3 linked regions of the Macaca mulatta genome follow. The protein of the gene in region 3 interacts with the protein of the main gene of each other region in a pairwise test. Links are inferred from orthologs where the notes say so. Each region holds a gene or a part of one and is shown on either strand. Other genes may lie near its edges.

Region 1 (4,111 bases), on a different chromosome or scaffold from region 3:
AGGAGCTCACAGAGCACTGCCCACATATTGAGAGCCAGGTGTGTGGCCTCAGTTGTCCTCATAGCAGCCCTGAGAGGTGGGCACACCTGTTACCTTATTGCTCAGATGGGGAAACTGAGGCTTAGGGGAGGGCTTGCCTGTGAGGCCAGCCTGACCCCCGTACTCACTTCCTGCCTGCAAATGCCACATGCTTGTTGGTGTTGTGACAATATCGCCCCTTTGAGGCCATGTTGTGCTTGGCTAAGTGGTGGGGATCTGGACTGAGAGATGTGGGTTCGAATCCCAGCTCTATCACTTCCAGCTGTGGGGACTTGGACAAGCCACTCCCTGCCTCCTGGGTTCCCACTGACAGGCATGTTAGAGCCCAGACTCTGACTCCAGGTGGCCAGGGTTCAAATCGCAGCTGCCACCTGCTTGCTTCGTGAACCTAGCAAGTGACTTCATCCTCAGTTTGTCTGTGAAATGGGGATAAATAACAGGACCTGTCTCCTGGGGTCACTGTGGCGATGAAATAAATCAATTCCTGGAGTCTTGCCATATGGGAAATACTCAATGAATGCTACCCTCTGCTATTGTTATTATTATATTTTTGAGATGGAGTTTCACTCTTGTCGCCCAGGCTGGAGTGCAATGGCGTGATCTCGGCTGACTGCAACCTCCGCCTCCCAGGTTCAAGTGATTCTTCTGCCTCAGCCTCCCAAGTAGCTGGGATTACAAGCATGCACCACCACGCCCAGTTAATTTTTTGTATTTTTAGTAGAGACGGGGTTTCACTATGTTGGCCAGGCTAATCTCGAGCTCCTGACCTCAAGTGATCTGCCCGCCTCAACCTCCCAAAGTGCTGGGATTACAGGCGTGAGCCACCGCACCCGGCCCCTCTGCTATCATTTTTATCATACTTTTATATGTATAAATGTAGACTATGATACATATTTTACTATCCTCTGGGTTTTTTTGTTTTTTGTTTTGTTTTTGAGACGGAGTCTTGCTCTGTTGCCCAGGCTGGAGTGCAGTGGCGCGATCTTGGCTCACTGCAAGCTCTGCCTCCCGGGTTTACGCCATTCTCCTGCCTCAGCCTCCTGAGTAGCTGGGACTACAGGCGCCTGCCACTACGCCTGGCTAATTGTTGTTGTTGTTGTTGTTTCGTATTTTTAGTAGAGATGGGGTTTCACCATGTTAGCCAGGATGGTCTTAATCTCCCGACCTCAGGTGATCCGCCCGCCTCAGCCTCCCAAAGTGTTGGGATCGCAGGCGTGAGCCATGGCGCCAGGCCTATTATACTGTAACAGCCCTACACTGAGCCTTTCAGGCAGGCGAAATCCACAGTGTTCCCATCACCAAAGCTTTCGAAGAAGCAAAGTAGCCATGATGCACCTGTGCTTCAAAGCCATTCATTCATTCATTCATTCATTCATTCATTCATTCATTCATTCAACACAAGGGTTCCCTTCCCCTCCCTCTCTCTCCTCCCCAATCCCCTGCTCATCCCAGCCTTTCTAGAGACTGACACTAACAACCCTTCCCCACCTCCCAGCCTTTGCTCATGCCATTCCCTCCCACACCCTAAGGCCCCTGCCTTTCTTTCCCTTTCCCCTCCCAGGGCTCACTCCTCTCCATCCTTTAAGACTTGGTACCTCCTCCTCCAGGAAGTCTTCTCTGATCTCTGCCCCCCCACGATGGCCATAATCCTGACTCCTTTCATTGCCTAGTTTCATGGCTGTCCGCCTTTGAATACAATCAGCGCATAATGAGCACCTACTGTTTGCAGGCTCCCTGGCCGGACAAACGATAGAGAGGTGAAAAAGTGATATTGGGTGATGAGTTACGGACCGACAATGCCTGGTCCCTCCTGTTTCAGAGAAGTGTCAGTCACCATGAACCGGTCGGGTCCCCCCTCTTGCTGTCCCTCCCGTGACCCGGTCCTTTGCGAGGGGAGGGGACAGGTTACCTGGGCATCCAGATCGTTACTTAGTTCTTGGCCATCTTTTTGCTTTACCCCTGCGGGGGAGAGTGCGTATAAGAGAAGGGCCCTTGAAGGGTCTGTGGGAGTTCCAGGCCACCCAGAGCCGCGATGCAGAGCCTCCCCGAGGCTGGGACCTCCGGGGGAGGTGATCTCAACGCCTCTCCCTAGACCACGCCCCCTCGGCGCTCCCACGCGCGGTCTCCGCACCAGGCCCGGGACCCCAGCAGCCTCACCGTACACGATGGAGCGCCCAACTCCCGTGTGGTCGCTGCCGAATTTCCTCATCAGAGCCCCCGCCTTCTTGGAGGATACCTTCCCATGAAACTTCTCCCGGAGGCGCCGGACGCTCTTCTCCAGCTGGGATGGGGACAGGGGGGTTCCGGTGGGCGAAGGGGAAGCGCGATCGTCCCTCCCCCATCTCTAGGCACCGTTCTCCCGGCCTGAACTTGACCCTTGGTTTTGGCCTCCGCCGCCCCCCCTTTCATCCCTCTACGGCATTTCCTGGAAAAAGCCAAAGTCCCCACATGGCGCTGGGGGAGGGCGCGGACTGAGGCGAGCGTCCCAGCCTAAGGTGGGGGGGCGGCCAGGTTATCTCTGGCCTCTGACCTTTGACCCTGCAGCCCCCGCTTTTCCTCGGAGAGGCCTCATTTCGCTCTGGGGAAACGTGGGAGTCACTTTCCTTTTCAAGGGGGGTGAGCGCCAGGCAGGGGTAAAGATCTGGGGTTCTAGGATGGGGGTCCCCAGGAACTGCGAAGCCCCCTCCGCGCTTCTCGGCCGCTCCTCGGAGTCTGTCGCGTCTGCCCCCGGCCCAGCCGTAGCCATCTCTTACCTCCACACCTTCCTGAGACATGGTGGCGGCGGCGCAGGTCCCCGCGAGGGTCCGCACTGCGCGGTTCAGCCGCCCCCCTACCTGGGCGCGCCCGTCGGTCCAGCAGCCGCGCAGGGCAGGGGGCGGTGCCTCGGGGCCGGCTCCGCCCTTCCTCCCCAGCCCCTGTTTCGCTTTCGATTCAGGGGGGACCGGGCGCGCTGGCTCCGCCCTGGCTCCGCCTCTGCTCTTGCGCCCCAAACCCAGGCGGGCGCCCCGGGTCTGCACCCTGCGGCGGAGCGCGCAGACCTCGGGCGGGGGAGGCGGCGCGGCCTCTGCAGTCGGTCACATGTCCCCACGCTGCGCGGGGTCCGCGTCTTCACGTCCCTCGTGGGGGCGGGGCCGCATCGGAAGGCCGCGGCGAGGCCCCGCGCCCCCCCACCCAGCGCGCGCTCCCCCAGTTCATCACCCTCCTCTCTGTCCTCCCTCCTTCCCCGGGAATCTGGCGCTCATGAGGACCTGGGCGCTTTTCCTGCCCTGAGTCTCTGTCCTAGCTAGGGTCACCTCTCTGAACCTCAGTTTACCCCTCTGTGAAATGGGGAGGATCCTGGTCTCTACACCATGGAGTGGAGTATGTGCCAAGATTCCCGAGTGGATCGCGTAATAGCGCCTGGCTTGCAGTAGGCACTCAACTAGTCACTGGGCCACCTGCTGTGTGCCCTTGATAGGGGCAGGCAGTGTGTGTGTGGTTGCGGGGAGCGGTGCTTGAGAAAAACACAGATTCTTGGTCTCTCGTTGCCCGGTAGAATCCGGCTGTCTCAGGGATCCAGGGAATCTGCAATGGTTAAGAACCCCGTGGGCTGGACAGTTCTAACCCAGTACAGGGCGCATCAGGGAGCCGTTAGGTGGTGGGGCTCTGGCCCAGCCTGGGGACACAGAGATGGCTACTTCATTGGAGGAGGGGATGCTTTGTACAGTCACTGAAATTGGAGGTCTTAGCTCGGGGACGAATAGAGTGGGGAGTTGAGGCAGCCGTGCAGAGCCCCCAAAACAAGACTAAGTCTGGGGCTTTCGGGCAAGGGCTTCTCAAGCCCAGCACTCTTGACACTTTGGGCTGCCTGGTTCTTTGTGTGGGGGACTGTCCTGTGTGTTGGGGGACATTTAACAGCATCCCTGGCCACTGCCTGCTAGATGCCAGTGGCTCCTCACTCTCCCTGTTGTGACTACAAAAAATGTCTCCAGAGACTGCCAGATACTCTCTGAGGGGCAAAATAGCATTGTGTTCAACGACTCTAAATTTTTTTCTCCATTGCACACCTCTATAGGTAAAACTGTTAAAATTA
Region 2 (3,650 bases), on a different chromosome or scaffold from region 3:
TATATTTAGAAATCAGATTAAAAAGTAATAAATCATATTACTTACCTGGCTTTGAGGGAGATATTTTCCTACTTAAACATCAACATTTTTATGTGCAACATCTGGAACACTGGTTTTCAAACTTTGTACTGCAGAATTCTAGTGAAGGGGTTCTAAGGATTCCGTGAATATTTTTATTTTTATATTGAAATTAACAAAATGCAACACATACTACTAAACATTAACATATGTGCTAATGAACACATCACATAATGGATGTTTAATGTGTTAATTTGTGCTATCAGATTTCATCCAAACCTTAGAACAAAGCTCTTTGATATATCAGTTTACTGCAATCAAAAATAATATAAAGAACAAGATTAGATACTGGTATAAGATTATAACTATTAACTAAGGCCACAATAGAAAATGTTTGTATTCCTCAACATAGCTTCATGGTTCTTACCATGAAAGTGAGTATATATGTTGGTTCTCACCATGAGGTGAGTGTGTGTGTGCTGAACATAAGTAACTGATGACAATTTAAATCCATAAGCTAAAACACTAATGCCATTTTCAATCTGCTCATATTTTACTATCTACTGATTAAAAAAAAAAAGAAAGTTTGAAAACCAGTGGTCTGGAGGTTCAAGATTTTTTTATGATACCTGAGACATTTTACTCTGGATTTAGATATTTGAGCTAAACTTTGATGTGAGTCATAAGCCTTAGCCCGGGTTGTCAGGAGTTTCTGCAATTCTTTCATTCTTTGCTTCTGTTTAGTTAGGATCCGATTTCTCTCTTCTTCCAACATTTTCTTTTCCTCAAGTGATCTCCTGAGGGTAACAAACTAAGGCTTAATCCACTTTAAGCCAATGCGAATGTTGTTTAGCAAAGATTCAACATGGGATAATTTGAATTTTGATAATTCAAAATTTGAAAAAAGGCAACCCTTTGAAAAGGATCTGACGTGTAAAACTAGAAATTTTTATTTATTTATTTATTTATTTTTTGAGACGGAGTCTCGCTCTGTCGCTGAGGCTGGAGTGCCACGGCGCGATCTTGGCTCACTGCAAGCTCTGCCTCCTGGATTCAAGCGATTCTCCTGCCTCAGCCTCCTGAGTAGCTGGGATTACAGGCACCTGCCACATGCCCAGCTAATTTTTTGTATTTTTAGTAGAGATGGGGTTTCACTATCTTGGCCAGGCTGGTCTTGAACTCCTAACCTTGTGATCCACCCACCTCGGCCTCCCAAAGCACTGGGATTACAGGTGTGAGCCACTGCACCTGGCCAGGTAAAACTAGAAATCTTAAGACTAATATTTTCTAATCCACGAAAATTTATAAAATGAAAAATACATTCATTTCTTAGAATACTCTCTGACAAAATGTCATATATTATATAGTAAAATATTTTATAGATACAATAATAATTTCTAAATATTTTCAAATTCACCAACATAAACTCCACAGAGCTACATACACTCATCTGGTAACCCTGAGTCAGTCAGTACTGTGTCTTAGTTACTTACCTTACAGCTTGTTCTCGTCCTCTGGAAGACACCGTGGGCACTGGAGGGTTGTAGTTACAAGGCACAGGCTTTACACCTGCACGTCTTACTGGAGACTTACGCCTTGGAGACAAATAAGGCCAACGTGTTTCTTTTAACTTTTCTTCATCTGCTTCGATGTCTGCCAAAATTTTTTCTCTTTTAATAGATGCATGTGGAGATGCATGAAGATCAAATGGTTTACACACCGTTAAGAGTTTTGGAGACTTGTGTTCTGAGAGGTGTTTCTGATATCTCTCAGGAAGGTCCTCAAAATCAGGAGTCCGGCACCTAACCTTGTGTTTACACTTCAACTTTACAGCCTGTTCGGGACACGTGGGGTTCCTGCGTCCCCAAGCTGACCTACAAGGCAGAGGAGATGAGTTCTGTAAACGCTCCTGGGCTCTCAGCTGCGTCCTAAGGTTTCGATAGAGCTCTTCTTCTTTTAACTTGTCATTGGTAGTTGAACCATAAGTAGATCGAGGAATGGGTCTGGCTTTAAATCGATTTGTTTTCTTTTTAGACTTAAAAAAGTCTCTCAGCTGCTTTTCCTGGGCTGCTCGCTTCTGTTCCTCCCTTGCTATAAATTTAAATGGCTTTTGTGAGGCCAAAAGAGCTTCTTTATTTTTCTCCTTCAGAGACCTTCTCCGTTCTTCTTTTTGCTTGACTAAATCATGGTAAAGGGGGAGAAAGACAGATGCAGGAACTGGATTGGCTCGGAATTTCTTCTTACACTCTGGATCCTCTTCTTGTTTTTTGAGCAGTTTATCTACCATTTCAATATCTGATTTAGATTTCATGGACTCTTCTTTTTTCTTCTGTTCTCTTATCATCATTTGAAAAGGCTCCGGTACTGTAATCGTGGGCACCCATTCTTTTCGTTTCTTCCTTGTTTTCTCAGCTGTGTGGAAGCCAGTATCTTTACAGCGAATATAATCTTCAACACAAAAGTCTTTCCACATGTTGTTGATAAGCTCCTTAGCATAGGCCATCATTCTGTTTTCCCTAGCATACTCTTTTTCTAGGTTGGGTAACTCTTCTTCAGAGGAGGACACATACAAGGAGGAAGACTGGCCTAAATCAGGCTCTGAAAATGATGTCATTAATGAGACAGGGTGATAGGAGTTCTTTTCTGACACAGATCTAAATGAGAAGAATAACTATGTTATACTTTCAGTTGTATGTGACCAAATATAAAAATTAAGAGTTACATATTTTCTTTTCTTTTTTTTTGTCTGAGACAGAATCTCACTCTGTTGCCCCGGCTGGGGTGCAGTGGCCTGATCTTAGCTCACTGCAACCTCTGCCACCCGGGTTGATTCTCCTGTCTCAGCCTCCCGAGTAGCTGGGACTACAGGCATGTGCCACCGTGCCCAGCTAATTTTTTGTATTTTTAGTAGAGATGGGGTTTCACCATGTTACCCAGGATGGTCTCAATCTCCTGACCTCATGATCTGCCTGCCTCCGCCTCCCAAAGTGCTGAGATTACAGGCGTGAGTCACTGCGCCCAGCGAAGAGTTACATTTCTAAGATCAGGGTATAATCAGAAGAGAGGAGCTGGACAGGGCTTGTAAGAATTATCACTTTTATTTGGAACAGAGCTGGGAGATGCCCATACCTTATCTACTTTGACTTCTTCATTTTACAGAGAAGGAACCTGAGATGGCAGAGGCTCCTTGTGACAAACCTCTATTAAATTCTCCCCACAATTTCCAGAGTCACAGTTCTGAAGCATAGATCTGATCATGTCATTCTCCTGCTTGAAACTTTTTGATAATTCCTTACTGCTACAAAGTCAAGCCTAGATTACAAGCCCTTTGAGACTGGCATCTATCTTTTCAGTCTTACTCCTCACCACTGGCTACCCCAGTCTCCATTCTGCATTCATATCCAGTCCTGTGAAGTTCCTCACACACGATATTATTTCTCATGCCATCTTGCCTTTGCATACATGGTTGCTGCTGGCTAGAAGACCACTACTTATACCTCCTCCAAGACTGAACTCAGATGTAACACTTCAGTGGAAAATTCTGGCCTGCATCCCTCCAAAAGCTTGGCATAACCAACTGCTTCTTCCTCTGTAACACTCTGTTACATCATGCTGTAATGCAATTTTTGGTT
Region 3 (3,650 bases):
GGGGTAGAGATGATCCAGCTATGTCTCTTGGGGAAACTGTGGTAGATTGCAAAGGGTAGTTGGTGACCCCCAGGCTTGTGAAAAGGTTGTGAGTTATGGATGCTACTTTAATCCAGATCAGAGAGACCTATGGAAGGTCTTATTAAGGATTGGGCTGATCCAGAGGTTGTAACCCTTGGCCATGTGTCTTATAAGTAGCTAGTAAATCATTATGGTATGTTGGTGATCTGAGGCTATTGAGCCTTTCCTTCAAGGAGTGGTCCCATTTGTTAGGACTACCCAGAGCAGAGACTGTTTCTTCAGGATGTCTTCTAATATGGGATTTGATCTAGGCCAGAATCTTGTTATTTTGAGTCAACTGTGGACAGAAATGTGTATTCAGTGGGGAAAGTTGCTAATCTATCTGGAAAAGTTTCTAGATCTAGCATATGATTAATTCAACTTGTTGAACAAAAATGTATTGCGTACGTGCTAGGCACTGAGTTTCAAAGCTGAGTGAAACCCCAGTCTTAGTTCACGAGGAGATTGCAGTCCAGGGAAAGGAGACATATTGAAACATAACTGTTTGCTTCATTAATTGTTCTTGGGGTAGGAAGCAAGGGAAGGCTTCACGGAGAGGTAACACCTGATCTGAGATTGGAAGAATGAGTAGAAATTTGCTAGTGTTTGGAAATGTCATTCTAGGCAGAGTATATGACTTGTATAAATGTGTAGCAGCATGAGATCACTGCACTTTAGAGGAACCACAAATATCTCTGTTGGGGCTGCGATGGGTATGTGATGGGTATGAAGAGTGATATGAGGTAAGACTGGAGCCTTGTCTCCAGATGGTATAAAAGGAATTGTACGAAAACAGTGAAGCACTGAGGAGTTGTAAACAGGAGGAAGATAATGTGTAAATATTCTGGCAGTGGGGTGGAGAAATTATAGGGGAATTGCAGACTTGTATTTGGGATGGAGTTAGGGGGCTCAGAAAGCCCTAGTGATAAGGATGCCTGTTAGTGACCCTTTGCTGAGGTCTTGGACTTGAACTAAGGTAGTGCTAATGGGGATAGTAAGATTGAGATCTGATGAACACTTAGGAAGTAGAATGGGTAGGATTTTATGAAAAATTGAATTTGGAGAATAGGAGTCATGAATTCAAGACCCCATTCAGGTCTCTGCCTTGAGTTACTGAGGATGGTGATGTGGTTCACTAAGAAAGGAAGGAGGGGTGCATGCGGATGTTCAGGGGTGATGCTGAGTTCAGGTAAAGTGTTGATCATCACGCGGAGCGAATTTCTGATTTGATGTATATGCTACATATCACCTGGCCTAGTGCCTGTAAGTTATATCATGCCAACTAATCTGTCCTAGCAGTAATAGTAAGTTTTACACATTCAAAAAAAGGGTGCCAAAAATTGACAACCTTAGTTATCCAGGTTATACTCCTACATTTTCTGTATCTTCTTGAGATCTGTTCTTACAGAAATTGTGCAAGTTATTATTTATGGTCGGTTATGACATAACTTGATTGGCTTTTGAATTTTATAAAAATACTAGTACAATTTAAAAAATATTCCGTATGGGTGGCCTCATGCAGAAGTTGGCACAGTTCCTCAGGAAATGCAGTAAGTTGAAAAGGAGCATCTTGTCTCATACTAATTCTGGATTTGCTGCCATTCCTCTCTGGGAAGTACCTTCAGAGACTTTACCACCTGCAGGGAGAAGTGGTGTCACACAGAAGTCCCATTTCTGTGACTCGACGTGTTGCCACTTTGCTTGGTCACCCATCTTTTTCTTCAGACGTAGCTCCAAATCACTTTTGCTTCTTTTTCAAAGCCAAGTACACTCTCGAAGGATGATGACATTGCTGTACTTGAGGAGATCTTAAAAAATGTGGTATAGAAGTGTTAAAAAGTATTAAAAATAAACTTTAAAAATATTCAGGGGCAGCATCATGGGAGTGATGCTCTTTCCAGGGATCCATTTTGAAGCACTTTTTTGTATGTGTACAAAATTTGATATGTAAATTAAAATTTGATGTGTAAATTTAAATGTTATAATTTTATAGTGTACTTTGTAATAATTCCTTTAAATAAACATTTCACGTGCCACTAACATTTGATTTTGACTAATAAACAGTAGGATGTGTAACTTCTTGTTACTGATCTTTTAAGGATTCAGTTATTCTAAATCCTTTGTTAATTTTAATCAGAATTGCATGTAAATGTTTTAGGAACAACTGGAAACTTCCAGGAGGGAAATGATTGGGCTTCAGGAAAGAGATAGACAGTTACAATGTAAGAACAGGAATTTGCATCAGCTACTAAAGAATGAGAAAGATGAGGTGAGTTGTCAGTTACTGCTGATGAAGTTTAAGTGAATTTTTGTTTTCTTTGTAGTATGAGATGACCATAAGAGCCACTTTACTTGAAAAAAGAAAGAACCATTTATTCATCTTTCCCCGAATTGGTATGGTAGACCTTTGTGTATAGTATTTAACTGGAAGGTCAGGAACCCTCTCCACCACAGCCCCCGCCACCAGTGGATCCATTTGGCTTAGATATTAGTTCATAGCTGGTAACAGCCAGTGTCCTGGACTGGCCTTCCTGGACTCATGTTCACTGTCACTTTTTCTGAGGCACAAGAGTGCTTTAAATGCAGATCTTTTATTCTCTGCTGTACCTGTACGTGATAGCCGAGGTGCCCCTTCTTGCATGCACTGTCTTAAATACTGACATTGTTCATCTAGTCAAGCAGTTTCTTCATTAAATGGGCACAGAAGCAGTTCACATTAAAAATCTAATTTCTAACACAAAAGATACAATTCTAATTTCTGCTTTAGTGGTTACTTAGCAGAATTCTAATTTCTACTTTAGTGGTTACTTGGACCTATAGCTCGAATGCATTTCAAAATATTCTTTTTTCATTTTTGTAGGAAGAAACCATTATGTTTTTATTGCTCTAAAGTATGACCTCTGACCATTTAATAACTATAAAAATATAATAGTTTCAGTGTTTTATGTTGTTTGAACTATAATTAAAGACTTCTGAGGAGTGTATTTCTTTAAAGAACGCTGGAGTGGTTTAGATAGATTTGTTTTACCATATTTGTTTATTTAGTAGTATATTTAATAAGTAGGTAATTAGTATTTAAACTGTAAGGTTGCTTATACATGTTTCCTTGAGTTCACAGACAATTCTGACTAGATCTGTTGATTACATTTAAACGGTTTGAATACAGTTCATCTTCAGTAGGGATTAAGTTAATCATGTTAATCCCTAGCAGGGATTGGGAATGGCTTTATAAAAGAATAGGACATACTCTATCAGGGGCTGCCTGAGAAACTGTAATTGATCTGAACTTTGAACAGCAGTGTCTGGCACGTAATACATACTCAGCAAATATTTGGACTGGATTATTCTGCTGTTTGGACTTACTCTTATTTGAGAATTGTTTTTAATTAGAAAAATGAGCCTGCTTACCTGCTGCCATGTGCCACAGGCTTAATTCACTTTGTCACAGATTAACAAAAAGTATAAGTGATTTTTAAGTCAGTAATACAAGGAGTTCACTTAAAATGATCAGATGAATTCAGTTTATCTCAGATGAAGCTTTAATCATTTTAATACTTCCATAAGAATATCTGGTTTTTAAATGTTCAGAG

The links.
Region 1: the proteins of SSX2IP (region 3) and SHFL interact in binary tests that used the Homo sapiens proteins (3 or more experiments, as listed by UniProt). The two-hybrid records come from large-scale screens. The link is inferred for Macaca mulatta from reciprocal best matches to the Homo sapiens genes SSX2IP and SHFL.
Region 2: the proteins of SSX2IP (region 3) and FAM161A interact in binary tests that used the Homo sapiens proteins (3 or more experiments, as listed by UniProt). The two-hybrid records come from large-scale screens. The link is inferred for Macaca mulatta from reciprocal best matches to the Homo sapiens genes SSX2IP and FAM161A.

Annotation. Positions count from the first base shown.
Region 1 is NC_133424.1:10,795,761-10,799,871, reverse strand, and holds the start of SHFL (shiftless antiviral inhibitor of ribosomal frameshifting protein), read right to left. Parts: upstream 2,925-4,111; 5' UTR 2,814-2,924; coding exon 2,793-2,813; intron 2,321-2,792; coding exon 2,197-2,320; intron 1,999-2,196; coding exon 1,949-1,998; intron 1,774-1,948; coding exon of another isoform or gene 1,635-1,773; intron 1-1,634.
Region 2 is NC_133418.1:62,896,782-62,900,431, reverse strand, and holds part of FAM161A (protein FAM161A), read right to left. Parts: intron 2,673-3,650; coding exon 1,512-2,672; intron 816-1,511; coding exon 648-815; intron 1-647. UniProt on the Homo sapiens protein: Involved in ciliogenesis.
Region 3 is NC_133406.1:155,899,909-155,903,558, forward strand, and holds part of SSX2IP (afadin- and alpha-actinin-binding protein), read left to right. Parts: intron 1-2,218; coding exon 2,219-2,329; intron 2,330-3,650. UniProt on the Homo sapiens protein: Belongs to an adhesion system, which plays a role in the organization of homotypic, interneuronal and heterotypic cell-cell adherens junctions (AJs).